4 linked regions of the Stegostoma tigrinum genome follow. The protein of the gene in region 3 binds, or shares a complex with, the protein of the main gene of each other region. Links are inferred from orthologs where the notes say so. Each region holds a gene or a part of one and is shown on either strand. Other genes may lie near its edges.

Region 1 (7,496 bases), on a different chromosome or scaffold from region 3:
GGGTTAAGTGTTGGGGCCACAGCTGTTCACCTTATATATTAATGATCTGGAAGAAGGCTCTGGCGGCATTCTGGTGAAGTTTGCCGATGATACAAAGATAGATGGACAGGCAGGTCATACTGAGGAGGTGGGGAAGCTGCAGAAAGATTTAGATAGTTTAGGAGAGTGGTCCAGGAAATGGCTGATGAAATTCAATTTGAGTAAATGTGAGGTTTTGCACTTTGGAAAAAGGAATACAGGCATGGACTATTTTCTAAATGGTGAGAAAATTTGCAAAGCGGAAGTACAAAGGGATCTGGGAGTGTTGGTCCAGGATTCTCTAAAGGTTAACTTGCAGGTAGAGTCCGTAATTAAGAAAGCGAATGTAATGTTGTTTGCTCAAGAGGGTTGGAATATAAAACCAAATCTCCCCTTCCCCCACCGCATCCCAAAACCAGCCCAGCCTGTCTCTGCCTGCCTAACCTGTTCTTCCTCTCACCCATCCCTTCCTCCCACCCCAAGCCACATCTCCATTTCCTACCTACTAACCTCATCCCACCTCCTTGATCTGTCCGTCTTCCCTGGACTGACCTATCCCCTCCCTACCTCCCCACCTATACTCTCCTCTCCACCTATCTTCTTTTCTCTCCATCTTCGGTCCGCCTCCCCCTCGCTCCCTATTTATTCCAGAACCCAGATTCCATCCCCCTCTCTGATGAAGGATCTAGGCCCGAAACATCAGCTGTTGTGCTCCTGAGATGCTGCTTGGCCTGCTGTGTTCATCCAGCTTCACACTTTGTTGTCTTGGATTCTCCAGCATCAGCAGTTCCTATTACCTCTGATATAAAAGCAGTGATGTGCTACTGAGGCTTTATAAAGCTCTAGCTAGGCTCCATTTAGAATACAGTGTCCAATTTTGGGCCCCACACCTCAGGAAGGACATACTAGTCCTGGAGCGTGTTCAGCGGAGATTCACATGGATGATCCCTGAAATGGTAGGTTTAACGTATGATGAACAGCTAAGGATCCTGGGATTGTACTCATTAGAGTTTAGAAGGTTGAGGGGAGATCTAATAGAAACTTACAAGATAATGTATGGTTTAGAAGGGGTGGACGCTAGGAAGTTGTTTCCGTTAGGCGGGGAGACTAGGACCCGTGGGCACAGCCTTAAAATTAGTGGGGGTAAATTTGAAATGGAAATGAGGAGACATTTCTTCAGCCACAGAGTGGTGGGCTTGTGGAATTCATTGTCATGGAGTGCGGTGGAGTCCGGTACGTTGGATGCCTTCAAGGCAGAGATTGACAAATTCTTGATCTCAGAAGGAATCAAGGTCTACGGGGAGAGTGCAGGGAAGTGGAGTTGAAATGCCCATCAGCCATGATTTAAATGGTGGAGTGGACTTGATGGTCCGAATGGCCTTACTTCCACTCCTATGTCTTATGGTCTAAACCTTATTGGGTTCTTTGAGAAGGCGACCAAACAGGTGGATGAGGGTAAAGCAGTTGATGTGGTGTATATGGATTTCAGTAAAGCATTTGATAATGTTCCCCATGGTAGGCTATTGCAGAAAATATGGAGGCATGGGATTGAGGGTGATTTAGCAGTTTGGATCAGAAATTGGCAAGCTGTAAGAAGGCAAACGGTGGTGGTTGATAGGAAATGTTCCTCCTGGAGTTCAGTTACTAGTGGTGTACCGCTAGGATCTGTTTTGGGGCCACTGCTATTTGTCAGAGGGCGTAGAAGGATGGGTTAGTAAATTTGTGGATGAAATTAAAGTCGGTGGAGTTGTGGATAGTGCGGAAGGATGTTGCAGGTTACAGAGCGACATAGCTAAGCTGCAGAACTGGGCTGAGAGGTGGCAAATGGAGTTTAATGCGGAAAGGTGTGAGGTAATTCACTTTGGAAGGAGTAACAGGAATACAGAGTACTGGGCTAATGATAAGACGCTTGGTAGTGTGGATGAGCAGAGAGATCTCTGTGTCCCTGTGCATAGATCCCTGAAAGGGTCCACCCAGGTTGATAGGGTAGGGTTGTTAAGAAGGCATACGGTGTGTTAGGTTTTTTTGGTAGCGGGATTGAGTTTCGGAGTCAAGAGGTCATGTTGCAGCTGTACAAAATTCTGATGTGGCCACACTTGGAGTATTGCGTACTGTTCTGGTCGCCGCTTTATAGGAAGGATGTGGAAGCATTGGAAAGGGTGCAGAGGAGATTTACCAGGATGTTGCCTGGTATGGAGGGAAGGTCTTATGAGGAAATGCTGAGGGACTTGAGGCATTTTTCGTTAGAGAGAAGAAGGTTAAGAGGTGACCTAATAGAGACATACAAGATGATCAGAGGATTAGATAGGGTGGATAGTGAGAGCCTTTTTCCTCGGATGGCTAGCACAAGGGGACATAGCTTTAAGTTGAGCGGTGATAGACATAGGATAGATGTCAGAGTTGGGTTCTTTACTCAGGGAGTAGTGAGGGTGTGGAATGTTTATCCAATGACCATATAAATGCCCTTAAACTTGGCGAGTCTACTGCTGTTGCAAACAAGATATGAATAAACAAGATATTTTTGAGCTGACAGGCTATAACCAGTTGTGAAATGCAAGGATCTGTATTTGAAACTTAGCTGTTCACAGTCTATATTAATAACTTAAGATGATGGGCTGATTTTATAACATTCTAATTTGCAAATGATCCAAAATTAGCTGGGAAATAATCAGTGAGAAGTGCATTAGAGTTTGTAGGGGATATGGTAACATTGGCTGCATGGACAAAAGGGAAAAAAAGACTTTCAATTATTTTAGCACTTCATGTCCATTGACATGTCAAAATCTGAATTATTTTGAATTATAGTTGCTGCTATAATGTAGTAAATATAGCAGCCAGGTTACACATAATGAATTCACAAACAGTAATGTGATAATAACCAGCTAGTCTTCTTTTTGTGACAAAAACAGAAAATGCTGGAGGAACTCAGAAGATCTGACATCTGTGGAGAAAAAGCAGAGTTAATGTTTTGGATCCAGTAACCCTGCTTCAGAACTGATTGAAGTTAGGAAAAGGTTGGCATAAAAGTGGAAGGTGGAATGGGGATAGGAAGAAATGATAGATGGAGATGGAGTCCAGAGAGAGAGAGAATAGCAATTGGGCAGAAAAAGGAATGGGCAAATGGCCAGCCTGGGAGAATCCTTGGCTGCTAATGGGACTATTAATAGCTGACAATGGGTTGGTTGTGGCAGCAGCCCATGTGTTAATAAAGCCTGCTATTTTGGGGAGTTCAGTGAAGAACACGGAAGTAGGTGTTCAGGCCCTAAAATTATTGAACATTTTTATATCAAGCACGGAAGGGGGGCGGCATGGTGGCTTGGTGGTTAGCACAGCTGCCTCACAGTACCAGGGACCCAGGTTCAATTCCATGCTTGGGCAACTGTGTGTGGAGTTTGCACATTTTCCCCATGGTGCATGGTTTCCTCCAGGTGCTCTGGTTTTCTCCCACAGTCTAAAGATGTGCAGGCTAGGTGGATTGGCCATGCTAAATTTCCCATCGTGTTCAGGGATGTGTAGATCAGGTGGGTTGTACAGGGATGGGTCTGGGTGGTCTCTGAGGGTCAGTGTGAACTTGTTGGGCCAAAGGGAATGAGAAGAAAATGAAACTTTGCTCTTCCAGTTTGTGCTGAACTTCTCTTTGTGATGTTGGTTGGTGCTTAAATGAGGGCCAGAACTCCACAGATAGTTCTTCTGCTTTTCTTTGAAATAATGCCATGGGACCCTTTACTGTACATGCGGGAAGATGGGACCTTGAGTTAAGATTTCATCTGGAAGATGGTGCCTCCAACACTGAAGTGCTCCTTCAGTGCTGCACTAGACTGTCAGCCTTCATTTTTGTGCTGAAGCCAGAACCTTATGGGTAGAGTGGTACCAGCTTCTCCATGGCTAACATATAAAAACAAGATGGTGATGGGAACATCGATCCGTATGCAATCCATAGTAGCAGATTCGTTTTTTTCTAATCGACCAAAAATTCCATTATATCCATAAACATGGCTGATATCTCTATTAAAAAAATTGTGTAGCTACTTGTGAAAATAAAAACTACACTTTCTTGGTGCTCATTAATAACTACTGATGAATAAATAGTGAGTTGTGCTTTTGTTTTCTTGTCTAAGTCCTCAATTTTGTTAAGCATTGCTCAAAACTTCATTGAGTAAAATGACTTTAATCTTTTCCGATTGAGGGAAACAGTACATTCATAGTGATCTAAATATGTTAACTGGCTAGGAGTTGTCTCCATTTGGAAGTGTCTCCGAATAAACAGCAACAGACATCCCAAATTAGACCATGGATCGAGCCACAATCACATTGAACTACGGCAGACGCTGGAAGGATAAATATCCCCACTAAGCCCGCCCGTTCATAGCCACACCCCCCTCATAGCCACGCCCCGGCATCGGGAGACCCGCCAGGCCCGCCCCCTGCGGTGCCTGCGCTTAGATCACCATCTCGCGAGAGGCAGTTTGAAATTTCTGGCGGTTGTTGTTGGCGGTTCGCGCTGAGAGCGGGTAAACAAAAAGGGGGCTGCTTTGTGGCAGAGCGGACTCGAGAGAATCATAGACAGCTAGAGAGGTGAGACCGCGGGGGCGGGGATTATCGGGGAAGGCTGAGGCTGGGGAGTAGTTGATGGGATGGGGAGGGGGGTGAGGGCTGTCGGTGGCGGGGAGGTGTGGGCAGGCGGGAATGGGGAACCGAAGGTGAGTCTGAGGTGGGGTTGGGGGCGATTGGGCAGATGTAGTTCCGACAGGGTTGGGTGGTGGGATGAGTGATCATCAGTGTCAAAGATTAGGCAGGATATTTTTAGTCCTAGGTCTTGTGTTTTCTGTCTGGCTTCAGTGAGGAGGATCACTGAAGATCTTATAGGAATTTATGACTCACATCCCTGCCTTCGTGACTCATCACAGTGATGCTTTGAAAACTTGGAGCAAGCCTATCTTCACAGTAGCAACACTGACTAGGACATCTCCAACTGTTGGGCCGTCCATTCCAATCTGATGCCATACGTTGTCACTTCACTAGTAGTTGGAAGATCTGCTGTTTGATTCAAAGTTGCTCCTAGTTAATACTTTTTCTAAATTGCACAAATCCTCAATGCTTATCTCACACAGGACTGGTGGGGACATTTGTCCCGTGGAGCGGCATGGTGGCTCAGTGGTTAGCACTGCTGTGTCACAGCTCCAGGGACCTGGGTTTTGTGTGGAGTTTGCAGATTCTCCCTGTGTCTGTGTGGGTTTCCTCCCACAGTCCAATGATGTCCAGGTTAAGCGAAATAGCCATGCTAAATTGCCCATAGTGTCTGGGGGATATGTAGGTGAGGTAGAATAAGCAAGGGAAATGCAGAGTTACAACAATGGGGTAGGATGGGACAGGTCCAAATGGGATCCCCTTCGGAGAGTCGGTGTGGACTCGATGGACAGAATAACCAGCTTCCGTGCTGTAGGGATTCTATGATTCTTCATATTCACAACTGAACAAAACTTTTTAACCGTTGGAATTATAACTGCTTTGAAAGATCCTGTTGGACAGTAATTTATGATTCATTAAATTTATATTGTCTGTTTCAGATTTTTTTCCATATAAATGGGTACACAAAAAAATCAAATGCTCCAAATACAACAAGCCTTTGAAAAGGCCCAGAAAGGACATCAAAATCTTGCAAAGTTGGTGGCAGGTCTTAAACAAATATACAATCAGGTACAGTGAATTGCATAGTATTTAGACAAGACTGCAGTATATCAAATTTCCTTACCAGAAATTGTATCAGAGATAATGGGAACTGCAGATGCTGGAGAATCCGCGATAACAAAGTGTGGATCTGGATGAACACAGCAGGCCAAGCAGCATCTTAGGAGCACAAAAGCTGACGTTTCGGGCCTAGCCTTCATCAGAAAAGGGAGATGGGGAGAGTGTTCTGAAATAAATAGGGAGGGGGGGTGCGGATCGAAGATGGATAGAGGAGAAAATAGGTGGAGAGCAGACAGACAAGTTAAAGGGGTGGGGTGGAGCCTGTAGAGGTGAGTGTCAGTGGGGAGTGGGTATGTCAGTCTGGGGAGGACAGACAGGTCTAGGGAGTGGGATGAGGTTAGTAGGTAGGAAATGGAGGTGTGGCTTGAGGTGGCAGGAGAGGTAGGTGAGAGGAAGAACAGGTTAGGGAGGTGGGAACAAGCTGGACTGGTTTTGGGATGCAGTGGAGGGAGGGGAGATTTTGAAGCTTGTGAAATCCACATTGATACTATTGGGCTGCAAGGTTCCCAAGCAGAATATGAGTTGCTGTTCCTGCACCCTTTGGGAGGCATCGTTGTGGCACTGCAGGAGGCCCAGGGTGGACAAGTTGTCTAAGGAATGGGAGAGGGCATTGAAATCGTTCGCGACTGGGCTGTTTATTGTGAACCGAGTGTAGATGCTCTGCAAAACAGTCCCCAAGCCTCCGCTTGGTTTCCGCGACGTAGAGGAGGCCACAACCGGTACAGCGGATGCAGTATACCACATTGGCAGATGCACAGGTGAATGCATCATCCTCCGACACTTCCGCCATCTACAACCCGACCCCACCACCAAAGACATTTTTCCCTCCCCACCCTTGTCTGCTTTCTGGAGGGACCATTCTCTCCGTGACTTCCTTGTCCGCTCCACACTCCCCTCGACCTCCTCCACACCTGGCACTTTCCCCTGAAACCACAGGAACTGCTACATTTGTCCCGACACCTCCTCCCTTACCCCCATCCCAGGCCCCAAGAAGACTTCCCACATCAAGCAGAGTTCACCTGCACATCTGCCAATGTGGTATACTGCATCTGCTGTACCTGTTGTGGCTCCCTCTGCATCGGGGAAACCAAGTAGAGGCTTGGGGACCGCTTTGCAGAACATCTACGCTCGGTTGGCAATAAACAACTGCACCTACCAATCGTGAACCATTTCAACGCCCCCTCCCATTCCTTAGATGACATGTCCATCCTGGGCCTCCTGCAGTGCCACAACGATGCCACCCAAAGGGTGCAGGAACAGCAACTCATATTCCGCTTGGGAACCCTGAGGCCCAATGGTATCAAGTGGATTTTACAAGCTTCAAAATCTCCCCTCCCTCCATTGCATCCCAAAACCAGCCCAGCTCATCCCTGCCTCCCTAACCTGTTCTTCCTCTCTCGTATCCCTTCCTCCCACCTCAAGCTGCACCTCCATTTTCTACCTACTAACGTCATCCCGCCCCCTTGACTGCTTGACCTGTACGTCCTCCCTGGACTGACCTATCCCCTCCCCACCTACACACACCTCTACAGGCTCCATCCTCGACCCTTTAACTTGTCTGTCTGCTCTCCACCTATCTTCTCTATCCATCTTCGATCCGCCTCCCCCTTTCTCCCTATTTATTTCAGAACCTTCTCCCCATCTCCCTTTTCTGATGATGATTCTCGGCCTGAAACATCAGCTTTTGTGCTCCTAAGATGCTGCTTGGCCTGCTGTGTTTATCCACCTCC
Region 2 (7,502 bases), on a different chromosome or scaffold from region 3:
AAATAGGTCCATCTAGCGCAGTCAATTGTGTTGGTGTTTATCCTCTACATGAACAGCACTTTCATCTCCAATCATGGTTTCAGACGGAAACTCTGAAATCTAGGGATGCTTCATAAACTATTGCTATTTCCTTCCTTGGTGAATCGTGAAGACAGACTCCAGATAGTTGGTGGTAGTCGAGCAGTATCCAGGTATGGGTTCAAAACTCTGTCACATATGTTTAGAGTCAGAACACTTAGTCCCAACTTCCGTTATTATTGGTTCCTGGAGGCTTGGTATAAACAGTAAACTGAATGTGACAGCCACTGGCTCAGACATCATGGCTAACTGTGTCTCAGTAAGTGTCAGGATGGAAGTTATTTGCCCCTCACATTTAGGGTCTTTAGGTCACAGGCTCGGAGACAAGATCACAAACCACAAGCAAAATAACAAGTCATAATCTTCTTATTTTCTAGACTTCAGCCTCCTTGAATTCAAAAGAAAGTCTACCTCCACAATTAAAAAGCTAAATACAAATTCCTTGTCCTTTTTTGTCATGTTCATGTGGATGAACTGATATCATCCATTAGCAGACTTTTGAACAGACCTTTTATGTATTAAACTTGTTCTTTCTCTGCAACTTTTCTAAGCCTGTAACACTATATTCGTATTCTGTTCTAGCATTTGAATGTACTTTATGTAGGATATGATTTGCCTGTCTCACACACAAAACAATATATTTCACTGTATGTCATATGTGACAATAATAAATCAAATCAAATCAAATCCCACAACATCAGCAACAGACTGTAAACAATCTGTTTGCAAAACCTTTAAAAGAATTTTTAAACATCTCTTTAATTGGGCAAGATGTTCATTTAAAAGGAATACATAATCAAAGCATATAGGGAACAAAGCAAAAAGCCACTAATCATCGAACCAAGAAATCATTACTACAGAAAGAGCAACAAAAACATGGGTTGGAGGAAGAGGAGGCATGATTGGGAAAGAAGGGTTAAAAATAATGTTGTTATTTCAAAGCTTTAAAACACATCACACACTGTTTCATCTAGTCAACACTACCTCAGGCAGAGATCCTAACAGAAAAAATGAGAAATAATACATGGGGAAAACGCAGCTCGGTTCCAACCCTATTCCTGGAGTACAATAGTCAGTAATTTGCTACCAATGTCTGAGGCCATGAAATTACGGTTTATACAGCAAACAAAAAGTCTATTGGGAATTACTTTAATCACTTAAATAAGTCCTCATTATTGAGGCAATAGTGTCTCATCCAAGTACATTACTCAGATAATGATAATACAATAACAATTAAGGTTACACAACAGAATTAAATAAACTGATTATTGTGACATCAGTTTTTCTGACGTCCTGAATTCTGACCTTGAAGAGCTGTTCCACAGACATTCATATTAAGAGCAGGAGTAGGTGATTCAGCACCCTGTACCTGCTCCTATCTACCCCTACACCATTTGATTAATGGAGTCATACGGCTCTGAAACAGACCCTTCGGTCCTACTAGTCTGTGCTACCTAGACACCCTAATCTGGCCTGGACCCGTTTGTCAGCATTTAACCCATAACCCTCCAAACCATGCATTCACCCAATCAAATCCCTTTTAAATGTTGCAATTGTACACACCTCCACCACTTTCTCTAACAGCTTGTTGCATACACACTTTGCGTGAAGTGGTCACCCCTCAGATCCTTTTTAAAAATCAATGCTCTTTCAGCTTAAAACCTATGTCGTCTGGATTTGGACTCCCCCACCCTTGGAAAAAGACTTTGGCTATTCACCTAACTGGACCTCTAATGATTTGACAAACCTCTAAGAGGTTACCCCTCAGCCTTCAGTACTCCACCCTATTCAGCCTCTCCCTATAACTCAAACCTTACAGCCCAAGCGACATCCTTTTAAAAGAAGAGATAATGGGAACTGCAGATGCTGGAGAATCCAAGATAACAGAGTGTGAAGCTGGATGAACACAGCTGGCCAAGCAACATCTCAGGAGCACAGCCAAAACGTCAGCTTTTGTGCTCCTGAGATGCTGCTTGGCCTGCTGTGTTCATCCAGCTTCACACTTTGCTATCTCTGACATCCTTTTAAAACATCACTTTCTTTTCAGTCAAGAATATATTTAACACACCCTTAAAAATGTTCAATGACCATGCCTCCACTGCTCTTACAAATTAATGGCCTGCTCAGGAAAATAATTCTCATCAATCTCCATTTTAAATGGGAAACCTCTCACTTTAAAATTGTTTCCTAGTCCGAATCTCTCTCGTCCTGCCACCATTCATCCTGCCCATTGCCTTCAGTACCTTACATATTTTAACAATATACGCTCTAATTCTTCTGAACTCCAAGGTACACGAGCCCTACCTGCCCATATTTTCCTCATTTCAGAAATCAATCGATTCAACCTTCTCTGCGCTTCCAATACGATTACATTATTTCTTCAGGTGACCAAACTGTCTACGACACCTGGTTTCACCAAGGGCCGAACAACTATAATGACATTTCCCAACGTTTGCGCACCAAAGCCCTTTGCAATAAATAACAATGGTCCATTCCAATATATTTCACACGTTTTATTTTTCTGTTACATCATATTATTAAAGACAAGTTGATTTCTGTTGCCGCCAAGAAGTAAACCAGTAACTGCAGTAAACAGAAGTGGTTCAATCAGACACTGTAGGGAAGAAATTAGTAAATGATTGAAGTGGGCCGTTCTTCAAAACCAGAACACAAGAAACTGTAACGAACAAGAATACAATCACAGAAATCTGAAAGAAACTATATTTAACAAAAGGAGATTCGAACTGACACTGACAAGCCGAGACTCACCCCCCACCGAAGAACCGTATCTAGCTACGTTCCACATTTCTCAAGCACGATTATTATAAATCCAGTTCTCAAAATATTCCCCTATTTTCTCTGAATATTCCCTTCTTTTCTCTGATTGTTTTATTTTACCCGTTTTTAGGCCAGCGCCATTTTTTGTTTTTCCCGCGCAGGTACAAACCACAGAATGCGCATGCGCGCGACACGGACTCAATCATTAGTCTACTAGTAAGAGGCAAGAAAACAGAGTTTGAAAGAATTTCCATCACAATAAAACCAGATCGCTAAATTTTTAACGCGGGTTTAAATTTTAATTTGAAATTATTACTTTGTTTTGTTTTTTTTTCAGATGTTTAGAGATGATCTCCCCTTCTGCCATGATGGTACAGGCTGCAAATGCAGAAAGACGGTAACGATTAAGAGCAATCCATTCCGGGAACAGGGAATAGTAACTTTAGAAACTTCTTAAAGTAAAAAAAAACACCGTGGATAATCTGGTTATATATTTCAAAATGTGGTTATTATTTCAAAGCGCGACTCAGTCTGAGTTATATTGTGAGCTATTATAATGGAATCGTTATGGATCGAAGCTGTTGACCACCTCCCCCCCCCCCTTTGCGGTGATGAGAGTGGTTATGTCCAGGCCTGCAGCTCGGAATGGGGGAGATTGTGTTGTCGCGGGCAGCTTTCCTCTGGGGCACGAATGCTATTTACTTGTGTGCATTCACCTCGCTTTATGTACAGATCCCAGGTAATAGTGATGACACTGATATTCTGGGTTTTAAAAGCTCTGCCTCGGTGAAGAGTGTAGTCAGTTGGCGGGAGTTGGGTAAAGGAGCCTCATGGAGAAGGGAGAGGTGTGGTTAATGGAAGGAAACCGACTGAAGTGGAACACATCGTTTATTTCCAAAACAGCACCGTGTGAGTTAGCGTTGGCTGGCAGTTTGGAAAGAGTTGTTGCTGTTAATGTTGACAGAGTGCATTTTTGTGTTTATGAAGTGGTGCAGTTTAGACTTTGATCTGGGGACTCTGGTGTAGCAGAGCCACTCTATAGTTAACGGCAACACACTGCAGATGCTGTAAAGCTAAAACAAACACAGAATGCTGGAGAAACTCAGCAGATCTGGCAGCGTGTGGGGGGAGAGAGAGGGAGTTTGAAGTAACGTTTCGAGTTTGGTGCGAGTTTGCTTCAGATTGCATGGTTATTTTGGTGCGAGACTTGAATTGTGTGCTATGTATGGAGGGAATAATGTTTAGGAAATGACCATTGCAGTCAGTTCATTGAAACCATTCCATACTGTGAACCCTCCCCTATTGAGGTTCAAGAAGGCAGCTCAGCATCATTCCTAGTTACCCTGAAGATGATGGGCAATAAATGCTAGTCCGAACAGAAAAGCCACCACCCCATGACTTTTATTAAAGAAGAAACCTGCTAGGCGTTTTATTTCCATGTTTCTGAACATCGTGAGTGCTCTCTCTCTCTCTCTCCATCACATTTCTTTCCAGGGAAGCTTAAGCTTCCCAAGTAAAGACAAAGTGCTGAAGAAAACCAGGTGTGGCAGTACCTTGCAGAGAGTAATACAAAAACGTTGAGTCCAATGAGAGTCATGTTGGACAAGCAACATATTCTCTCTCATGGGATAACGAGGTGTACGGCTAGATGAACACAGCAGGCCAAGCATCTTCTATCTCTATCACTTCTGTCTGTAATTTTTTAACGCGTGTGCGTGTGTGGATTTGAAGTTTTCATTTGAATGCACAGTTTTTCCTGAATCATCTACCAGTGAGAACAACAGGCCAGCAGTCAGAATGTTGTGCTTCACCTGCAAGGGTGAAATTCTGAATCGTAGGATCAGTTGAACTCCATTCTGATAAGATGGCAGCTGTGATTGGAAGAGAGCTGTTTGCCAGTATGGGACTGTGATTGGGCTGTTTAGCTGAGGCTGTGTGCCGTTCCCATTAAGATGATGTCAGAAGGACTTTCAAAACATAACTATTGCAGATCCTAAAAGTAACATTTTTCTTTTTTCACATTGTCCACTCCCTTTCCTTGAATTTTTTGTCACTGGCCAATTTCAGGTGTGATAAAGGCTTTTAACATGGATATACAGCCAGGAAATTATATTGAAATCAGCAAGTCAGATGGTGAAACTCCTCAATATTTGTGGAAAGAGAAACGTTTGGAGTACAGTATTTTTTTTACAGCACAGTGTGGGCCGAAGGGCCTGTAATATTGTGCTGAACTTTTACCCTAATCCTAAGCTCTATCTAACTTGCACCCCTACCTTACACTATCATCCATATGCCCATCTAATAGCCACTTAAATGCCCCTAATGAGACCGACTCCACTACCCTGTCTGGCAATGCATTCTACTCCACTCACTTTGAAACTATGCCCCCTTGTAACAGCTACCTGCACCCTAGGAAAAAGTCTCTGGTTGTCCACTTTATCTATGCCTCTGATCATTTTGTATACCTCTATCAAGTCACCTCTCATCCGTCGTCGTTCTAAAGAGGAAAGCCCTGGCTCTCTCGGCCTTTTCTCCTAAGACCTTCCCTCCATTCCAGGCAACAACCTGGTAAATCTTCTCAGCACTTTTTCCAACGCTTCTGCATCTTTCCTGTACTGAGGCAACCAGAACTGGACGTAATATGCCAGATGTGGCCGAACCAAGCTTTTGTATAGCTGGACCATAACTTTGCAGCTCTTGAACTCGATCCCTCTCTTAATGAAAGCTAACACACCATATGCCTTCTTAACAACTGTATCCACCTGGGTCGCAGCTTTCAGGGAACTGCCAGCGTGAACCCCAAGATTCCTCTGCTCCTCCACACTACCAAGAATCTTTCCATTAACCCTTTTATTCTGCTTTCAAGTTTGTCCTTCCAAAAGAATCACCTCACACTTTTAAGGGTTAAACTCCATCTGCCACTTCTCAGCCTATCTCTGCATCCTATCAATGTCCCTTTGTAATCTTTGATTTGAAAATATTTACTCTGTTCCTGCAATGATGCTGCTGGATCTGCTCAGTTTCTCCAGCACTTTGTTTTTATTTCAGATTTCCTGCATCTTTAATATTTTGCTTTTACTTGAGATTGCATTGAACTTGCATAGTTTGGCCTCAGTTGGATTACTGTGACAGTTTCTGGTGTCACAGTTTAGAAAGAATGAGGTTGGTTAGCTCAGTTGGCTGGACAGCTGGCTTACAGTGCAGAGTGACCCCAGTAGCGTGGGTTCATTTGCACACAAGCAAGGTTAACATGAAGGCCCCAACTTGTCAACCTCTCTCATTGCCTGAGACATGTTGATCTTCAGGTTAAATTCGTTACCAGTCTTGTCTCTATCATGAGAGAGCAGTCCTGTGGTCCTCCAGGACAATGGCAGTTTAACTTTTCAGGAAGGATGTGAAGGCATTGTAGAGGGCTGAGACTTACAAGGTTAGTTCTAGGGAAATTAATTTTAGTCGTAAAGATACATTGAAGAAGTTGGGGCTCCTTCCTTTGGCCAAGAGAAGGATGAGAGGAGGTCTGATAAAGGCACTCAAAATTTAGATGTGTCTGAATAGAATTGATAGGAAGAAACTGTTTCTCCTGAAATGACCAAGAAATAAAAGGTATAGATTGAAGTAATTGTTCAGCCAAGAAAATTACGAGGAAAAGCTTTTGCACATAGTACAGTGTTAGGGCCTGGAATGGACTGGAGAGTGGTGGAGGAAGTTTGAAACAAGATATTCAAAAAGTGAGTTTTATTATTTTGCAAAGGAATGATGTGCAGGAGGTTTACACAGAACACTGGGAAATGTCACTAGGTAATATGATTGTTCAGAAACCATGCACATACACGAAATGACATTCTTCAGTGATCTTATCCTGAGACCAATGTTTCTACAGTTATTAACTTCACTGAATTTTTTTTGAGGAAGTAGCACAGCTGATTGATTTTGGATGCTTTTGACAAGCTTCTAATGCAAAGTAGCCACAAAAGTAAAAGTTGTGAGATGTGCTTTGGCAAAGACTGGAAACAGCTACTCAAGGATGAACCAGTGTCAGAACAATGAGAGGCATACATGAAGGAGACAGAATATTTGGCATAAATGTACTCCTGTAGAGATAAGGTTTAGGAGTTCCAAATACAGGCTTCCCTCAATGTGAAACAGCATGCAACAGCTAAGAACCAGTAACGCAGTAACTGAGGGATATGTAGAAAGGGCAGGAGCAAACCTAGACAGGACATTTGAAAAGCAAAATGAGAGAATCATCAAAGCTAGTTTGTCAATACATATAGTTTCACTGAAACACTTTTTTCCCAGAAATACATAAAGGCTATACAGATAGCCAAAAGTGTAGGGCCGTATAGAGACTAGAAAGGTATAATGTGTGTAGAGGCCAAAATCAAGGGTATGGTTCTTAATTAATAACTTGCATTCGCCTCCACAAAATAAAGGAAGTGATTTCATAGTTACAGAATATAAAATATTGAACAGAATAAACATAGAGAGGAAACTTTAAGAGCAGTGGAATCTTTGAAAGTCAGTAAATAACTGGGTCTGAATTATGTACATTATAGGCTGCTGGGAGAAGCAATTGAGAAAGTTAAGGTGGATCTGACTGCAATAATTCCAGTCTTTTTGGTTACAAATATAGGGCTGTCAAGGTT
Region 3 (7,750 bases):
TTAAGGGAACTGACCAGGCATTTTCTCAGTTTCACATCTCCACCCAAAATGTTTCGATTTGATTTTTAAAAAATTACTTTGGATTTGAATTTAAGTACAGCATAATTTTTAAAGTGAATTTAGATAACAGTATAATTTTTGTGAACTGTTACCTTGTGAAAAGGACCCAGGATTTGTTCTCCTGCATATGACTTGAAATTCTGGTTCACTATGTGAGTTATCATGAGTCGAGGAGCTCCGGGTTCATTAGTCATTGCTGGGGGTGGAGGAGGAGATATGCCAGCCAAAATTTCTTCCAAGCTTCGATTATCTATTGGTTCAACTGGTAATTCTGAGACAACATATAAACAGAGACAAAACAAATTAAACACTATCCTACCAAGGCATAATGTTTAGTATTTCATGTAACAAGAGTTTTGTACCACAAATATTTATAAAAAGTCAATTCATTTCACACATTTGATGTTTAAAAAAAGTTAGATACCACTTGGTATTACCATTAATACACAAAAATGTTATGCATAACTGTTCAAAATGACCTCAAAATTGTCCAATTACAAAACAACGTTCCACAAAAATTAAGACCATCAGAAACATTTTGTTCCCAGGCTTGTTTTAATAGATCAAAACAGTTCCAGACAAATATTTATATTTTTCTTTAAATTATTCATGCACCATTCTTGATGAAAAAAAATCAATATTTATAATCATGGGCAACACATATGAACAATGAAGTGCACTATGTTTAATTTAATAAATTGAAGTGTATGTTTAAAACAATGCTTGTGAGAAGAGTCTGCCGCAATAACATATTTTAATTTACAATGCAAGATCATATGGATGCTCTGTGAAACACTGCCACAGATCACATTTCAGGAACTTAATTTGCATTCATGAAAAAAGTGATCATAAAAGTACTGTACGGCAGTAATGGCTAGTAAGTATTCAACTTGCACTAGTTTAATGCTGCTATTGCGTTTTGTACGCCTGCCAAATACTTGGTTTTGGAGTTGCTGCAGCAACAAAACGGAAAAAGACTAATTTTATTAAATTTCTGACGCACGTTTTTTTGTAAAAAACGAAAGTAATTAGATATAAATCACACGTCTTATCAATTCTCGGTTAAAATCTCTTACATCTTCAGCAGCTTCCGAAAGCAGTTTTGTACTCCAGGCTACAGAAACTCAACCCCTCCCCCCACAATTCACGTACTGTACAAAAACGCGCAAAGGAAAAAAGGGAACACAATGAAAAGAAAACTCAAACCCCATTGCGCTGCAGCGTCAGGGGCAAAAAAAAACTGTCAAAGAAAAAAAGTAAACCATTACACGACTGGACATATTTCTTTCAGGGTAAACACTAGTTATTACAAGCCTATGCTGAAAACCGGTTAAAAAAAATCTACTGCACCAACTTTCTAGGTACAAGTAATCCGTTGCAATTGTCATTGAAGCTTACGGAGTTCAAATACGATCTTGACAAGTTTAGTTAATGTTGGCTGCTTTCCTCCCATGTCTGAATGGAACTACACCCGTTAACTCCAAGGTAAAACACATGAAGTACTTTTGCAAAATGATTACAAAAACAATTTCGGCGTATAGGCAATGGAATCGGCAACCTGTTTAGCCATACTTTAGGCGGCTAAATCCAATTTCAAAACGAACTAAACGGCAGCGATTATCACAGCTTCAATTTATTAAAAAGATACAAGAAATGAAATGCGTTCATTTTTAACAATACAAATTTTAAAATACAAATAAAATTAACCATACACGGACAAAGAAAAAATTACCTCTTGTAGTTTCATCTACATTTGATGCAGTTGCCTTTTGTTGGATATCCATTTCGTTGTCAAACTCATCCAGGGGCTCAGTTCCCCCCGGACCCAGTTTTGCGCTTTGCTTTGCTGTAGAAGACTTCGTTTTGGCAGGCATGGTTTAACCTAGTTCAGCAATTATTATAACAAAAAAAAACTCAAGGCAAACGTAGTTATCCCTTCATTGCCATTCAATTCCTTTCATTCCCACAACGCCCATATCTTTAGAAAAGCTTTGAAACAAAAATCAAAGTTCGGCTAAAAAAAGTACCTCCTGAAAAAAAACCCATTAATTCCAAATTTACCGCAACCCTACCCAGATTAGGAAAAGTTACTGTACTTTACTGTAATCCAACGCCACATCATGACGTTACAAAAACTGTATTTAAAAAGTCAACCGTATAGATTACATAAAAGACAAATCTCACTAGAAAGGACACAACGTTTACTCAAAATGGAACAATTTGATCAAATGAAAAAAGCTGTATATAACGACGTGTATTTGAGGCAGTCTACGTCACTAAGCTTAAATAGGCGCACGAACAGACTTTTTAAAAAAAAACAAAATTTGACATGAATTGTGTCTAATATTAGTTCGATGGCTTAAATGAAGTAGTTTGAGTTTACAGAACACACCAACAAGTAAAATAATCAAAAGCTAAAATGCGGTGGGGGGGGGGAGGGAAGAATCGGAGAAAAAACTATTCTAAAATGAAAAATATTTAAAATTCTGACTGAGATAACAATCGTAATTATTTAACGAACTCGACAGTTCATATTTCTCAAAAGTTTAGTTCAATGCAATAAATGGAACCGGGCTTTTTAAAAAAATGCAGATAGCAACCACTTCCCTGAAACAACATGTTTACAAATTTGTCATGCATCTCATCCCGCTAAAAACAGATTTCATTTCCACTACATCAATACCTTGGAAATCACTCCGAAACTCGATTTTCCGGCGCCGAATGATTGTTATTTTTTTTTAAAAATATTAGGAATATTTTGGGACCACTTTCGCACGGGGAAATTAAAAAATAAAGGAATAAATTCGAGAAAAATTCAAGCGCTTACCTCGGACCCAGTCGAAAATGGCGCCGAAAACTAAACTTGACTGAAATTCGTTGAGGGACAAAGCATTGTGGGTAAGCCGGTTTGAAAAAATGGGGTTGATGCCAAATTTTTAAAAATCAAAATAAATATTTAATTTCGCGGCAAGGCTGGTTGTCTTGGAGGAAGACCGACGGGCTGGTAATTATCAAATTAAAAAGTATAAGCTGTTTGCTTTTTTCGCCGCGGTTGCCGTGTTGGTTGCCAAGAAGCGGCGAGCGGCGGTCTCGCGAGGCGCCGCGAGACTGTAGTCTGTTTGGAGCCTAACTGAAGTAGGGGAGCGGATTCTGAGCGAATTGCTGAGGTCTGGGACTTCCTTTAGATTGCCGAGGTAAAAGCGGTGGGCTTTGCTTGTCAATTGGTACAGTCCATTTTTTTTTAAAAAAACGTGTGTGTAACACTCGATCGTTTTATGTGTAAAAGGGTTACGTCAGGACCAGACTTTATAGATTGTGGGTTTGAGATGAAATGACATCCTGGCCCATTGCTGCTCCTGCTGATAATAGGGCAAATATTGTTGCTAAGTGATATATAAAAACAAAGTTGCTGGGAAAGCTCAGCAGCATATGTGAAGGAGAAAAAAAAAGTTCACGTTTCGGGCCCGGTGACCCTTCCTCTGAGCAAGGGCCACCAGACCCGAAACGTTAACTTCGTTTTTTCCTTCACAGATGCTGCCAGACCTGCTGAGCTTTTCCACCAACTTTGTTTTTGTTCCGGATTTACAGCATCCGCAGTTCTTTCGGTTTTTGTTGCCAACTGATGTGTTGTATTGTGTGAGCGAACCCATTTGGCCTATTCGGTTCAATCTTGCCATCCATCAGTGGACAGTTCAGAAGTGTCAGGGAGTGTTTGTTTATGATCGCTCGAAATACCATGTTGAACATTTGGAACTTGTTTGTATTTACAACTGTAGAATGCATCAAGATGGTTCGCAATGTTTCGACCAAAATGGGGATTCGTACTTCCAAATAGGTACAATCTGGCAGTATTGATAACTTTCTATATGGCTGGCGGTGTCCGGATTGTGTGACATGTACCAAGGAAATGCATCTCAAAAAATGGGCTTTCAGTTCTACTGTGTTTGCGTTTTCTCACTGTTTGAATTTTGCGGGTATGAGGTTTTGGGAGTAACTGATATTGGCATGTTGTCTAAATTTTGCACAAGTGCTAAATTAGAGTACCAAGGTTTGTTGTTGTGGCATACAGATTAATTAAAACGTTGATTTGTAAGATTTTGAAGAAATTTCATGATGTGCACAGAAGCAACTTGCTTAGAGTTTGATACTTCCGTCCAAATATTACTGCAATATTATTCCATGTCAAATTTATATTTTTGCTATAATGGGTTATACTAAGAAAATAGTCACATAATTGTAATGCTGTGTATACTCAATTTGTGTAGCTATGTACACTTTTAATTTGTGTAAAAATGGATTCACTTTCCAATGGTCATTTTTGACTGTTTGATAAAAATTAATTTGAAACTGAAAATGTGTTAATATTCAACAATGATGTGCAACTGGTAACATTCTTGTCAATTTGGCAGCCACTGAAGACGTTGCAGTTAGTGGAGTTGACCTCTGTTACTGGAGTTGATTTAATCATTGTGTCCAATTCAATTTCTAAAGAATGAGGCTGAAGACATCGCTGTTGAAGGAACCGAAACATATCCTTTCAATGAATTCATTTTTTTAAACTTTTGTAATGAGCATTAAGTTACAAATAAAAGAAAAAAATTAATTGGAAGAATGTATAGCTTTAAATTAGTATTAGTAAATCCAGCCTGTTGGCAGGGTAGGTTTAGATTTATCATTTTTGTCATTTGCATGTCTCAGATTTTTTTAAAAATTACCGTAACTAGAAACAAAATAGAACATATTGTTTCCTTGTTTCCATTATTTAAATAAATAAAACATTATAATAAATTATCCATCTCAACTGTGTTCTAGTCCTGTCTAAATGGTTTATAGAGGAATGAGGCATATTGTAGTGAACAGTGCCAAGAATACAGGAAGTTAAAAACGTGGGGATCTGCTGTGTAAGAGGTAATCTGATTAATGTAATTTTACTTTGGTTATCATGAAATTAGTTATTTATCAGCCAACTCTGGATATTCACTGGTCACCTTAATAAACAGAATGGAGTTTGAACAAAACAGTCACTCTGATAGCTGTTACATAATTTTTTTTCAGAGATTAGACACCACTAATCATTCTGTTAAAGCTCACTTCAAGCATGATAGCAACTCCATATTAATCATATCTAATTATATTTTGGATGCCCTGAATGTTTTGATTTTTATGGTAATTTATTGCAGTTTGAAGTAAAACAAAAATAACTGACAACAATCCTAAATTAATTTTTAATGAATTTCTATTCAGATCCAAAATTCCCTGGTTCTCCTTTATTGACCTACTTTAAAGTCTACTATAATTTTTGTGAAATGTTAAGAATCTACTTCACGTCTGCAAATCCTAGCTTTCAAATAAAGAGGTGTGGAGCTGGATGAACACAGCAGGCCAAGCAGCATCTTAGGAGCACAAAAGCTGACGTTTCGGGCCTAGACCCTTCATCAGAAAAGGGGGATTGGGAGCGGATTCTGAAATAAATAGGGAGAGAGGGGGAGGCAGATCGAAGATGGATAGAGGAGGAGATAGGTGGGGAGGTAGGGAGGGGATATGTCAGTCCAGGAAGGACGGACAGGTCAAGGGGGTGGGATGAGGTTGGTAGGTAGGAAATGGAAGTGCGGCTTGAAGTGGGAGGAGGGGATAGGTGAGAGGAAGAACAGGTTAGGGAGGTGGGGACGAGCTGGGCTAGTTTTGGGATGCAGTGGCGGAAGGGGAGATTTTGAAGCTTGTGAAGTCCACATTGATACCATTGGGCTGCAGGGTTCCCAAGCAGAATACGAGTTGCTGTTCCTGCAACCTTCGGGTGGCATCATTATGGCAGTGCAGGAGGCCCAGGATGGACATGTCATCTAAGGAATGCAAGGGGGAGTTGAAATGGCTTGCGACTGGGAGGTGCAGTTGTTTATTGTGAACCGAGCGTAGGTGTTCTGCAAAGTGGTCCCCAAGCCTCCGCTTGGTTTCCCCAATGTAGAAGAAGCATAATGGGTACAGCGGATGCAGTATACCACATTGGCAGATGTGCAGGTGAACATCTGCTTGATGTGGAAAGTCATCTTGGGGCTTGGGATGTGGGTGAGGGAGGAGATGTGGGGCAAGTGTAGCACTTCCTGTGGTTGCAGGGGAAAGTGCCGGATGTGGTGGGGTTGGAGGGGAGTGTGGAGCGGACAAGGGAGTCCCGGAAAAAGTGGTCTTTCCGGAAGGCAGACAAAGGTGCGGATGGAAAAATGTCTTTGGTGGTAGGGATGGATTGTAGATGGCGGAAGTGTCGGAGGATGGTGTGTTGGTGGGGTGGTATGTGAGGACGAGGGGGATTCTCTTTTGGCAGTTATTGTGGGGACAGGATGTGAGAGATGAGTTGTGGGAGACAAGGTTGAGGGCATTCTTGATCACTGTGGGGGGTGGGGGACAAGTTGCGGTCCTTGAAGAACGAGAACATCTGGGATGTACAGGAGTGGAATGCCTCATCCTGGGAGCAGATGTGGCGGAGTCGAAGGAATTGGGAATAGGGAGTAGAATTTTTACAGGAAGGTGGGTGGGAGGAGGTGTATTCCAGGTAGCTGTAGGAGTTGGTGGGTTTGAAATGGATATCGATTTCTAGGTGGTTTCCGGAGATGAGACAGAGAGGTCCAGGAAGGTGAGGGATGTGTTGCAGATGGTCCACGTGAACTTGAGGTTGGGGTGGAAGGTGTTGAAGTGGATGAACTGTTCGAGCTCCTTTTGGGAGCATGAGGCAGCACCGATACAGTCATCAATGTAACCCTGCAGCCCAATGGCATCAATGTGGACTTCACAAGCTTCAAAATCTCCCCTCCCCCCACTGCATCCCAAAACCAGCCCAGCTTATCCCTGCCTCCCTAACCTGTACTTCCTCTCACCTTTCCCTCCTCCCACCTCAAGCCGCACCTCCATTTCCTACCTACTAACCTCATCCCACCCACTTGACCTGTCCGTCCTTCACAGACTAACCTATCCCCTCCCCACCTATACTCTCCTCTCCACCTATCTTGTCCTCTATCCATCTTCGATCCGCCTCCCCCTCTCCCTATTTATTTCAGAACCGTATCCCCATCCCCCTTTTCTGATGAAGGTTCTGGGCCTGAAACGTTAGCTTTTGTGCTCCGAAGATGCTGCTTGGCCTGCTTTGTTCATCCAGCTCCACACTTTGTTATCTCGGATTCTCCAGCATCTGCATTTCCCATTATCTCTAGCTTTTGATTATCTTGTTTCTGCCACATTGGGGTAAGGTGTTTTTAATTGTAAATTTCTATGTCAACATTTATGTTGTAGGCTGTATAAGTAAACATGTTACGTTGTAATTGCATCCTACTGTTAGTGTTGGCTATGTAATAGTACTTGGATGAAGGAATAGGTAGCTGTATATCCAAATTTGCTGACAGCATTAAGTTATGTGGCACAGCAGACTGTAAAATGGGATGAAAAGTTGCTACGAAACATTACTAGGATAGGCAAAATGTGGGTCAATTGAAGTCATGCAGCTTGGACTTAACATACAATAGAAAATCCTTCCATTTGTTTTGCCTGAAGGCACATATATTGGAATAGTTTTATAATGGTGAGAAGCTAAGAAATCTGGATGATTGGATAGACTTTGATATCCAAGTACAGAAATAACTTTAAATCTAGTGGATGGGCGCAAATGTTTGTTACAAAGGCTAAAGAAATGTTAGCCTTTATCTCA
Region 4 (7,421 bases), on a different chromosome or scaffold from region 3:
TCCAATTACATCTGATGTAATATCGGAACAAATTTAACCTTTAGGAGCAAACTTAAGAAATTGATGTCCAAGTCAGGTAGTCTCGGGGTCAGGATTTGGTGCACTAATGCTATGGCCTGTGTTCGATTCCCGGTCAGGGAACTCACGATCTCCTTTGCTAGTTTTGGGCGGTACAGTGGCTCAGTGGTGAGCACTGCTTCCTCACAGCGACAGAGGCCTGGGTTCAATTTCACCCTTGGGCGGCTGTCTCTGTGGAATGTGCACATTCTCCCTGCATCTGTGTGGGTTTCCTCCAGGTGCTCCAGTTTTCTCCCATAGTCCAAAGATGTACAGGCTAAGTGTATTGGCCTTACTAAATCGCCCATAGTGTTCAGGGATGTGTAGATTAGGTGGATTCTAGGGGGATAGGTCTGAGCACGATGCTCAGAGGGTGTGGACTTGTTGGGCTGAAGGGCCTGTTTCCACACTGTAGGGGTTCTAAGTAAGTACAACAGGTCCACACACATTACGAGTAGCAATAGAACGTCATTGGGTTTTAGAAGCCAGAAATATAGAAGATAGGAGCAGGGGGAGGCCAGTTGACCCCTCGAGCTTGCTCTGTCATATATATGATCATGACTGATCCCTCCTTCTCTCCACATCCCTTAATTTCTTTGGACAAGAGCAACATGAAATCCTTGAAAATATACAATGTTTTGGCCTCAACCACTCAACGTCATTGTGAATTCCACAGGCTCACCAGTCTCCAAGTAAAGAAATTTTCCTCATTTCACTCCTAAAATGGTTTACTCTCATCTTTAAACTATGACTCCTGATTCTGGACTCCCTCACCAATGGCAACATCCTTCCTGCATCTAATCTGTCAAATTCTGTTTAAATTTTCTATGAGATTCCCCCCACCCCACCATTCTTCCAAACCCCAGTTAATAGAATCCAAACCAACACAATCTCTTCTCCTATGTCAGTCCTGCCACTGCAAGAATCAGTTTGGCCAATATTCACTGCATTCCCTTGATAGTAAGAACATTGAGTGATTTCCAAGTGCTCTGCAATGAATTCACTGTCAATGGACTTCTGCACCTTCTCCATGACAATGTCAGAATCGCTGGTCCAGAAATTTGTGTTACGTTCCTCTGTCTTATCAAAAGGTGGGGTTACATTGGCTACTCTACAACCTCTAAGAACTATTCCACAGTTAAAAAAATCTTGGAAGATGACTGCCAATGCATCTGATATTTTGAAGGCTACTTTCATAAATACTCTGGTACAGAGATTCTCAGACCTTAGGATTTACCAGCCTTCAATTCCATCAATTTCTCCAAAACTATTTCTCCACTAATAGGGATTCACTTTAGTTCCTCCTTCTCACTAAATCCAAATTATTTGTGTCCTCCTTTATGACAACATAAATGAAGTGTGAATTTAATTTATCAGCTATTTCTTGTTCCCCATTTTAATAACGTCTGTTTCTGACTGTAAGTGACCTACATCAGTTTTCACTAATCTTTTTCTCTTTACAGAAACGTTGTCAGTCAGTTCTTCCGTTTTCCACAAGCTGACTCTCACTCTACTTCCCCCTCTTAATCAATGCCTTGGTCCTTCTTTGTTAACTTCTAAACTATTCCCAATCCTCCAGGAGATTTATTTTTCTTGCCAATTTGTATGTTTCTTTTTTTTTCCCCCAACTCATACTATCTCTAACTTCCCTTGTAAACCATGGTGTTGCCAGTGTTCTTTTGCACTCTTGTGCCAGACAGAAACAAGTTTTTGTTGTTTTCCCATTTGCACTTTGAATGTTTGCCACTGTCTATCCTCTGTCACTCCTTGCAGTAACATTTCCCAATCAATCAAAGTTAACTCCTACCACTGTAGTTTCCCTCATTAAAAATTCAGGACCTGAGTCTTAGCACCAAATACCTCACTCTCCGTCGTGATAAGAAAACCCGGTTGCTCATTACGGGTTGCTCATCCTGAAGAGGTCTTTCACAACTGCTTGACCAAGTATGCATTTTTCATGACATTATACCCAGTCTAAGACGGCCTGTTTTCTTGTTTCCTAGTCAATGAAGGCAGAATTCACACAAAATCTGGTTATAGTCCAACAGGTTAATTTGAAATCACAAACTTATTCAGCACTGCTCCTTGTTTCAGGTGAAGTCGAACGTGACGAAGGAGCAGCGCCCTGTAAGCCTGTGATCTCAAATAAACCTGTTGGTCTATAACTTAGTGTTGTGTGACTTCTGACTTTATCCACTCTAGTCCAACACTGGCACCCCAAGTCATGGTGAGTTAATGGAAAGAGGCCCTTTGGCCCATTGTGTCATGTTGATCACCTATCTACTCTAGGCCCATTTTACAGCACTTCCCCCCTCAGCTTGTCTGCCAAGGCATTTCAAGTGTTCATCAAAAATCTTCTTCAATGTTGCAACAGTTTCCACTCCTACCATCCTTTCAGGCAATGAGTTCTGGATATCCACCTCCCACTGTGAGAAAAAAAATTCTTCCTTGAATCCCCTCTATAGCTTCTGCTCCTTGCCTTGAATCTTTGCCTCCTGGTTACTGACCTCTCTACTAAAAACAAAGGTTACTTCCTATGTCCCTCCAAATTTTGTAGATTTCAATCAAGTATGTGACTCAACCCTCTCAAACGTCAAGGAAGCAACTTAAGCCTATCTGGGATAACATGGTGTGAGGCTGGATGAACACAGCAGGCCAAGCAGCATCAGAGGAGCAGGAAAGCTTGACATTTCAGGTCGGGATCTTTCAGAAATTTTTGAAGAAGGGTCCCGACCTGAAATGTCAAGCTTTCCTGCTCCTCTGATGCTACTTGGCCTGCTGTGTTCATCCAGCCTCACACCATGTTATGTCGGATTCTCCAGCATCGGCAGTTCCTACTATCTGTAAAGCCTATCTAGTCTCTCTTCATTGTTGAAACACTGGAACCCAGCAAACATCCTGGTGAATGTACTCTTGAGAACAATCACATGCATCCTATATACTGTGCGACAGGACTGCATACAGTCCTCAAGCTGCAGCCTCTGTAATGTTATATACAGCTCCAGAACAAGCTCCTTGCTCTTGATGTAATTATGCCATATGACTTCTTCACAATCTTGTTCACCTATCATGTTGCATTCAAAGATCTTTGGATAAGGGAAACAAGGTGCCTCTGAATGTCCTTCGGTCCTACAGTATGGTGTGAACCTCGGAGGCATAGCAGTCTTCCCCAAATGCATCAGCTCACTGTTTTCTAAATCAATTCCCATTTGTCACTGTTCTGCTCATTGGACTCACCCCAGTCACAAGAACATGCCTTGACCATCATCCTCAGCTTCCTGCCATGAAGCCAACCTTTGAATCCAATTTGTCAAACTGCACTGGATCCCATGGGTTCTAGTCTTCTTGATGAATCTCCATGTGTCAACTTGTCACAAGTTATTTTGGTTTTTAACACCAGTCAAAGAACCTGTGACCAAACCATTGTGCTGTACCAGAGATAATGGGAACTGCAGATGCTGGAGAATCCAAGATAATAAAATGTGAGGCTGGATGAACACAGCAGGCCAAGCAGCATCTCAGGAGCACAAAAGCTGACGTTTCAGGCCTAGACTCTGATGAAGGGTCTAGGCCCAAAACGTCAGCTTTTGTGCTCCTGAGATGCTGCTTGGCCTGCTGTGTTCATCCAGCCTCACATTTTATTACATTGTGCTGTACCAGTTTTGTCAGTGTGGTCAATACAATCAATGAGGCATGAGAGAAGCATTCATACACTGAAGTAAGCGCAAAGAAAAGTTGCAAATTGATCAGTCACCTCCAGAGTCTAATTTATAAAAGGACAAATAAAAACTGAGGAGCATTCAAAGCACAAGTCTGTTGTGCCTGTCAATAAAACCACGGTTAATCCACATCTATCACTTTCTCGCTTTTGCTGCAGGCCGGAAAGTCTTCTCACATTGTATTTGATAAAAGGCCTGGAATTCTCAGATGCGGCATTGGAGATTTTTTTCCCCCGCAGCCAAAGAAACCTCTGGAATTACTGAAGAAACAACTGCACTTGGAAATGTGAGGTCTGACGTGACGTTTGAAGAGGGGCCGAACGGCTTTCTTCGTTCACAGTCATCTTTCAGGAATGATCATGAGACGAACACTGTGAAGATCGGAGAAATTCAGGCAAAGGCACTCTTCGGTGTGTGTCCACGGATTTCTGTCAGTTTTGCTGATAATCCGTTTTTCCGAAAAGGCTGACGGTTCACTCCACTCGTTGCAAGAGGGCATACACATAAGGCACTGCGCGTGCGCAGAGCGACAACCTCCCCTTTCCCGGCGTGTTGCGCGTGCGCGGAGCGTCGCATCCCCGGGAACACCCAGCGAGCCGCGCGTGCGCACTATCGAGCCGCGGGAAAGTTTGAATTCCGATTGAAGTAACGGCAGAACGGAGCGAGATCCCGGCCGTCATCTTCCCTCTCCAACCGCGGGGTCGGATACAGCGACGTTGAAGAAATTCGGACATCTCGATCACTCAGGTCAGTGCGAGCCAGGACGATTTGAGGAGGCCTGGAGATTGTGTTTTTTTTTCATTGTTCGCTTATTGCATTAGAGCGGGCGGAAAAAGTTAGGCCGCAATCGCAACCCAAATCTCTCGGAAACATACACGTACGCCATCCTTTAACATCTGAACAGAGTGGGTGTGAATGTTTTCAACCGACACCCGGCGGACAGGGTGAGTGGTCGGTCAATCCAAGCTGAGTTGGACCGGGATTGTGGAAATTCAATCGCGCTGGCCCGTGTCCCCAAGTTCTGGCTGACACGCCTTCCTGCTTTCGTTGAGAAGTTCTTGGTTCAATACTGCGGCAATCCCTACACAAATCAACAGACCCACGAAAGAAATGATAAATAGCTCTGCCTGATTGCAGCAAATTACCAAATTCTCGTAAATAAAGCCATGAACTACGAATGTTGGGAAAGTTGAACCAAAAACACAAATTGCTGCAGAAACTTAACAGATCTGGCAGCATCCGTAGAGAGAAATCAGAGTTGGGTGTCCTGTAATCCTCCTTCAACACGGTTGGAGATTCTGAAGAAGGGTCACTGGACTGTAAACATTCTTTCGACAGATGCTGTCCGACCTGCTGAGTTTTTCCAGCAATTCCTGTCATTGTAGTCAGGTCTCAGTTCACTTAAGGTTCCTATTAGCAACTGCGTTGCTTGGCGTCAGGGGTTCCGGTTGCAGAGACGTCTGCGACTGTCGAAAGATAATAGATGAATGAAAATCGTGACGACGATAAGTAGATCAAAAATGCTTCACCGTAATGGCAGTAATTAAGGCGGCACTGTGGCTCAGTGGTTCTCTGTTGTCTGACAGGGCCTCGGGTTCAATTCCACCCTCGGGCGTCTGTCTGTGTGGAGTTTGCACATTATCCCCGGGTACTCCGCTTTCTTCCTACAGCCCAAAGACGTGTAGGCTAGGTGGTTTTCATCCCTGCAGTGTTCAAGGATACGTCGATTAGGTGGGTAATAGGGGGAATGAGTCTGGGTGGGATGATCAGCGGTCTCTGTGGACTTTTTGGGCCGAAGGGCCGGTGCCCACACCGTGGGGATTCGATGGTCACATAGTAGCTGAGCGTGAAACTTGAGTGAAGAGATTAAAGTGGTTTATTTGGCTGGATGAGGCACGCTGAAGGTGACATGAATGGCTGTAAAGCAAACCGAAGATCTGCAGATGCTGTAAAACAGGAACAAAAACAAAGTTACTGGAAAAGCTCAGCAAGTCTGGCAGCGTCTGTGAAGGAAAAATCAGAGTTAACGTTTTGTGTCCGGTGACCCTTACTCAGAACTCCTATGTGAAGGAGTCAGGTTGGTATGTTAAAAGCCATTTAAATATACATTAGAAGGAGAAATAATGGTAAATGTGCTTTCATGGCTCAACCATCTACGTAAGCACACTGGAATTTTGGAGGAGAAGGCCAGATCGTGGTTTCCCAAGACAGATCATGAAGTCTTGAACAGGTCAGACAGATGTGGGGAAAAGTGGAAACTATTGATTCCATGACTACAGCTTTTTATTGCTCTTTTGCTTGAATGGTCTTTTGTTGTATTTGTTTGTCACAGGGCAAAATGGATTCTTTGATCTCAGTTTCTCAAGTGGGGTCTTCTGACCACAAGTTTATTTCTCCAGCTACGAAGCGACAGGCTGTTCAGACTCTAAAGTCCTCTGTAAAAATGGATGTTGCAGCAAATGATGATGAACGTGAAAGGAGAGAGAGAAGGCGCTCAAAAGTGACAGACTTGCAACTAAGTGGCACAGAGAGCCCTTTGGTATCCCCAGTGCAAAGGTAGGTTTCATTGCACTGTTTCATTCTCATGTCACTTAGCATGTATTTGTGTATCATTGCTCCAGAGTGAACTCTGCTTCTGCTTTTCTTCTGTGCTGCTTCTGAACCCTGAGTATTGTCCAAAGGCCTTCCTAATTAACATTACAGGTTGCTACTTTTGTTGGTGTGATGTGTCAGAATTCTTGACTCTGGGTTTGTTTGAATGCTGAGCTGTGGACAAGTTGCTTTTGACCTTCAAAATAATTGATTCTGATTGTCATTGATTGTTGCAGGGGGACCCCACAATCCTTTGAACCCAAACTGTCAAATAATCAGATATCTGAACACTATTCTACCTGCATCAAACTATGTTCTGAAAATGTAAGTGGATGTTGACAGTTGTTCTGAATTCATAACAGACTCAGTTTTTTCTTTACAATGTCAAATTTGTTGAAAATTGGAATGGACACGTGCTTCTTGTACCGTTGCGTCAAATATAGACCTGCTGGAATGTGTCATTGGGTACTGAAGGAAGAAGCTACAGAGATAGTGGATGTGTGGGGAGTAATCTTCTAAGAATCCTTTGATTCTGGAAAAGTCTCAAAGAATTAGAAAACTGCCAACGTAATGCCATTATTTAAGAAGAAATGGAGGCAAAAAAAAACTTGAGGCCAGTTAAATTTATAGGTTATTGAGAAAATGTTAGAGGCTATTATAGAGGCAGTAACACCAGAGCAGTTAGAAATGCATCCATCAGGCAGATTTAGATATGATCAGGCAGGATGGTTAAATGGAATGTTGGTGTTCTTTACTGCAAAAGGAATAGAGTATAAAGGTAGCAAGATTGTGCTTATATATGCAAGGCATGAGTCAGACCACAGCTGGAACACAGTTTTGTGTCCCTTAGCTCAAGAAAGATATACTGGCATTGAAGGCAGTCCAAAGAAGATTCAGTTAGTTATTACCACATATACAACGACTGTCAAGGGTGGATAGGGAGAGCCTTTTTCCTAGTATTGTGATGGCGAGCACAAGGGGGCATAGCTTTAAATTGAGGGGTGAAAGATATAGGACAGATGTCAGAGGTGGTTTCTTTACTCAGAGTAGTAA

The links.
Region 1: smc4 (region 3) and ncapg share a complex: the UniProt entries of both Homo sapiens proteins name them as parts of the condensin complex. The link is inferred for Stegostoma tigrinum from reciprocal best matches to the Homo sapiens genes SMC4 and NCAPG.
Region 2: the proteins of smc4 (region 3) and ncaph2 are in contact, whole or in part, in a cryo-EM structure (PDB 9F5W), measured with the Homo sapiens proteins. The link is inferred for Stegostoma tigrinum from reciprocal best matches to the Homo sapiens genes SMC4 and NCAPH2. Residues at the interface, in NP_001002800.1 of Homo sapiens: Ile100, Leu101, Gly102, Pro103, Ile112, Gly113, Pro114, Ser117, Gln1151, Met1152, Leu1155, Phe1227, Lys1228, Ser1231, Ile1232, Phe1235, Tyr1236, Glu1239, Gln1240, Asn1253, Asn1254, Phe1256, Glu1257, Arg1261, Gly1264, Ile1265, Tyr1266, Lys1267, Thr1268, Tyr1269; in NP_689512.2 of Homo sapiens: Arg494, Ile495, Trp498, Glu499, Thr501, Val502, Leu505, Leu506, Gln509, Glu510, His512, Phe547, Cys550, Arg551, Met553, Leu554, Leu557, Gln558, Ala560, Asn561, Tyr563, Val565, Glu566, Ile567, Gln569, Leu573, Glu574, Ala576, Val577, Asp578.
Region 4: smc4 (region 3) and ncaph share a complex: the UniProt entries of both Homo sapiens proteins name them as parts of the condensin complex. The link is inferred for Stegostoma tigrinum from reciprocal best matches to the Homo sapiens genes SMC4 and NCAPH.

What each region holds. Positions count from the first base shown.
Region 1 is NC_081354.1:83,712,177-83,719,672, forward strand, and holds the start of ncapg (condensin complex subunit 3), read left to right. Parts: upstream 1-4,480; 5' UTR 4,481-4,593; intron 4,594-5,585; 5' UTR 5,586-5,601; coding exon 5,602-5,715; intron 5,716-7,496. UniProt on the Homo sapiens protein: Regulatory subunit of the condensin complex, a complex required for conversion of interphase chromatin into mitotic-like condense chromosomes.
Region 2 is NC_081378.1:21,665,799-21,673,300, forward strand, and holds the start of ncaph2 (condensin-2 complex subunit H2), read right to left. Parts: upstream 3,013-7,502; 5' UTR 2,848-3,012; intron 2,403-2,847; exon of another isoform or gene 2,383-2,402; intron 2,270-2,382; exon of another isoform or gene 2,252-2,269; intron 1-2,251. Other genes in the region: lmf2a (lipase maturation factor 2a), read left to right, coding at 3,502-3,595. UniProt on the Homo sapiens protein: Regulatory subunit of the condensin-2 complex, a complex that seems to provide chromosomes with an additional level of organization and rigidity and in establishing mitotic chromosome architecture.
Region 3 is NC_081367.1:27,392,874-27,400,623, reverse strand, and holds the start of smc4 (structural maintenance of chromosomes protein 4), read right to left. Parts: upstream 3,004-7,750; 5' UTR 2,888-3,003; intron 2,852-2,887; exon of another isoform or gene 2,744-2,851; intron 1,943-2,743; 5' UTR 1,935-1,942; coding exon 1,793-1,934; intron 332-1,792; coding exon 153-331; intron 1-152. Other genes in the region: ift80 (intraflagellar transport protein 80 homolog), read left to right, coding at 4,553-4,592. UniProt on the Homo sapiens protein: Central component of the condensin complex, a complex required for conversion of interphase chromatin into mitotic-like condense chromosomes.
Region 4 is NC_081393.1:10,353,488-10,360,908, reverse strand, and holds the start of ncaph (condensin complex subunit 2), read left to right. Parts: upstream 1-4,403; 5' UTR 4,404-4,523; intron 4,524-6,108; 5' UTR 6,109-6,114; coding exon 6,115-6,332; intron 6,333-6,604; coding exon 6,605-6,692; intron 6,693-7,421. UniProt on the Homo sapiens protein: Regulatory subunit of the condensin complex, a complex required for conversion of interphase chromatin into mitotic-like condense chromosomes.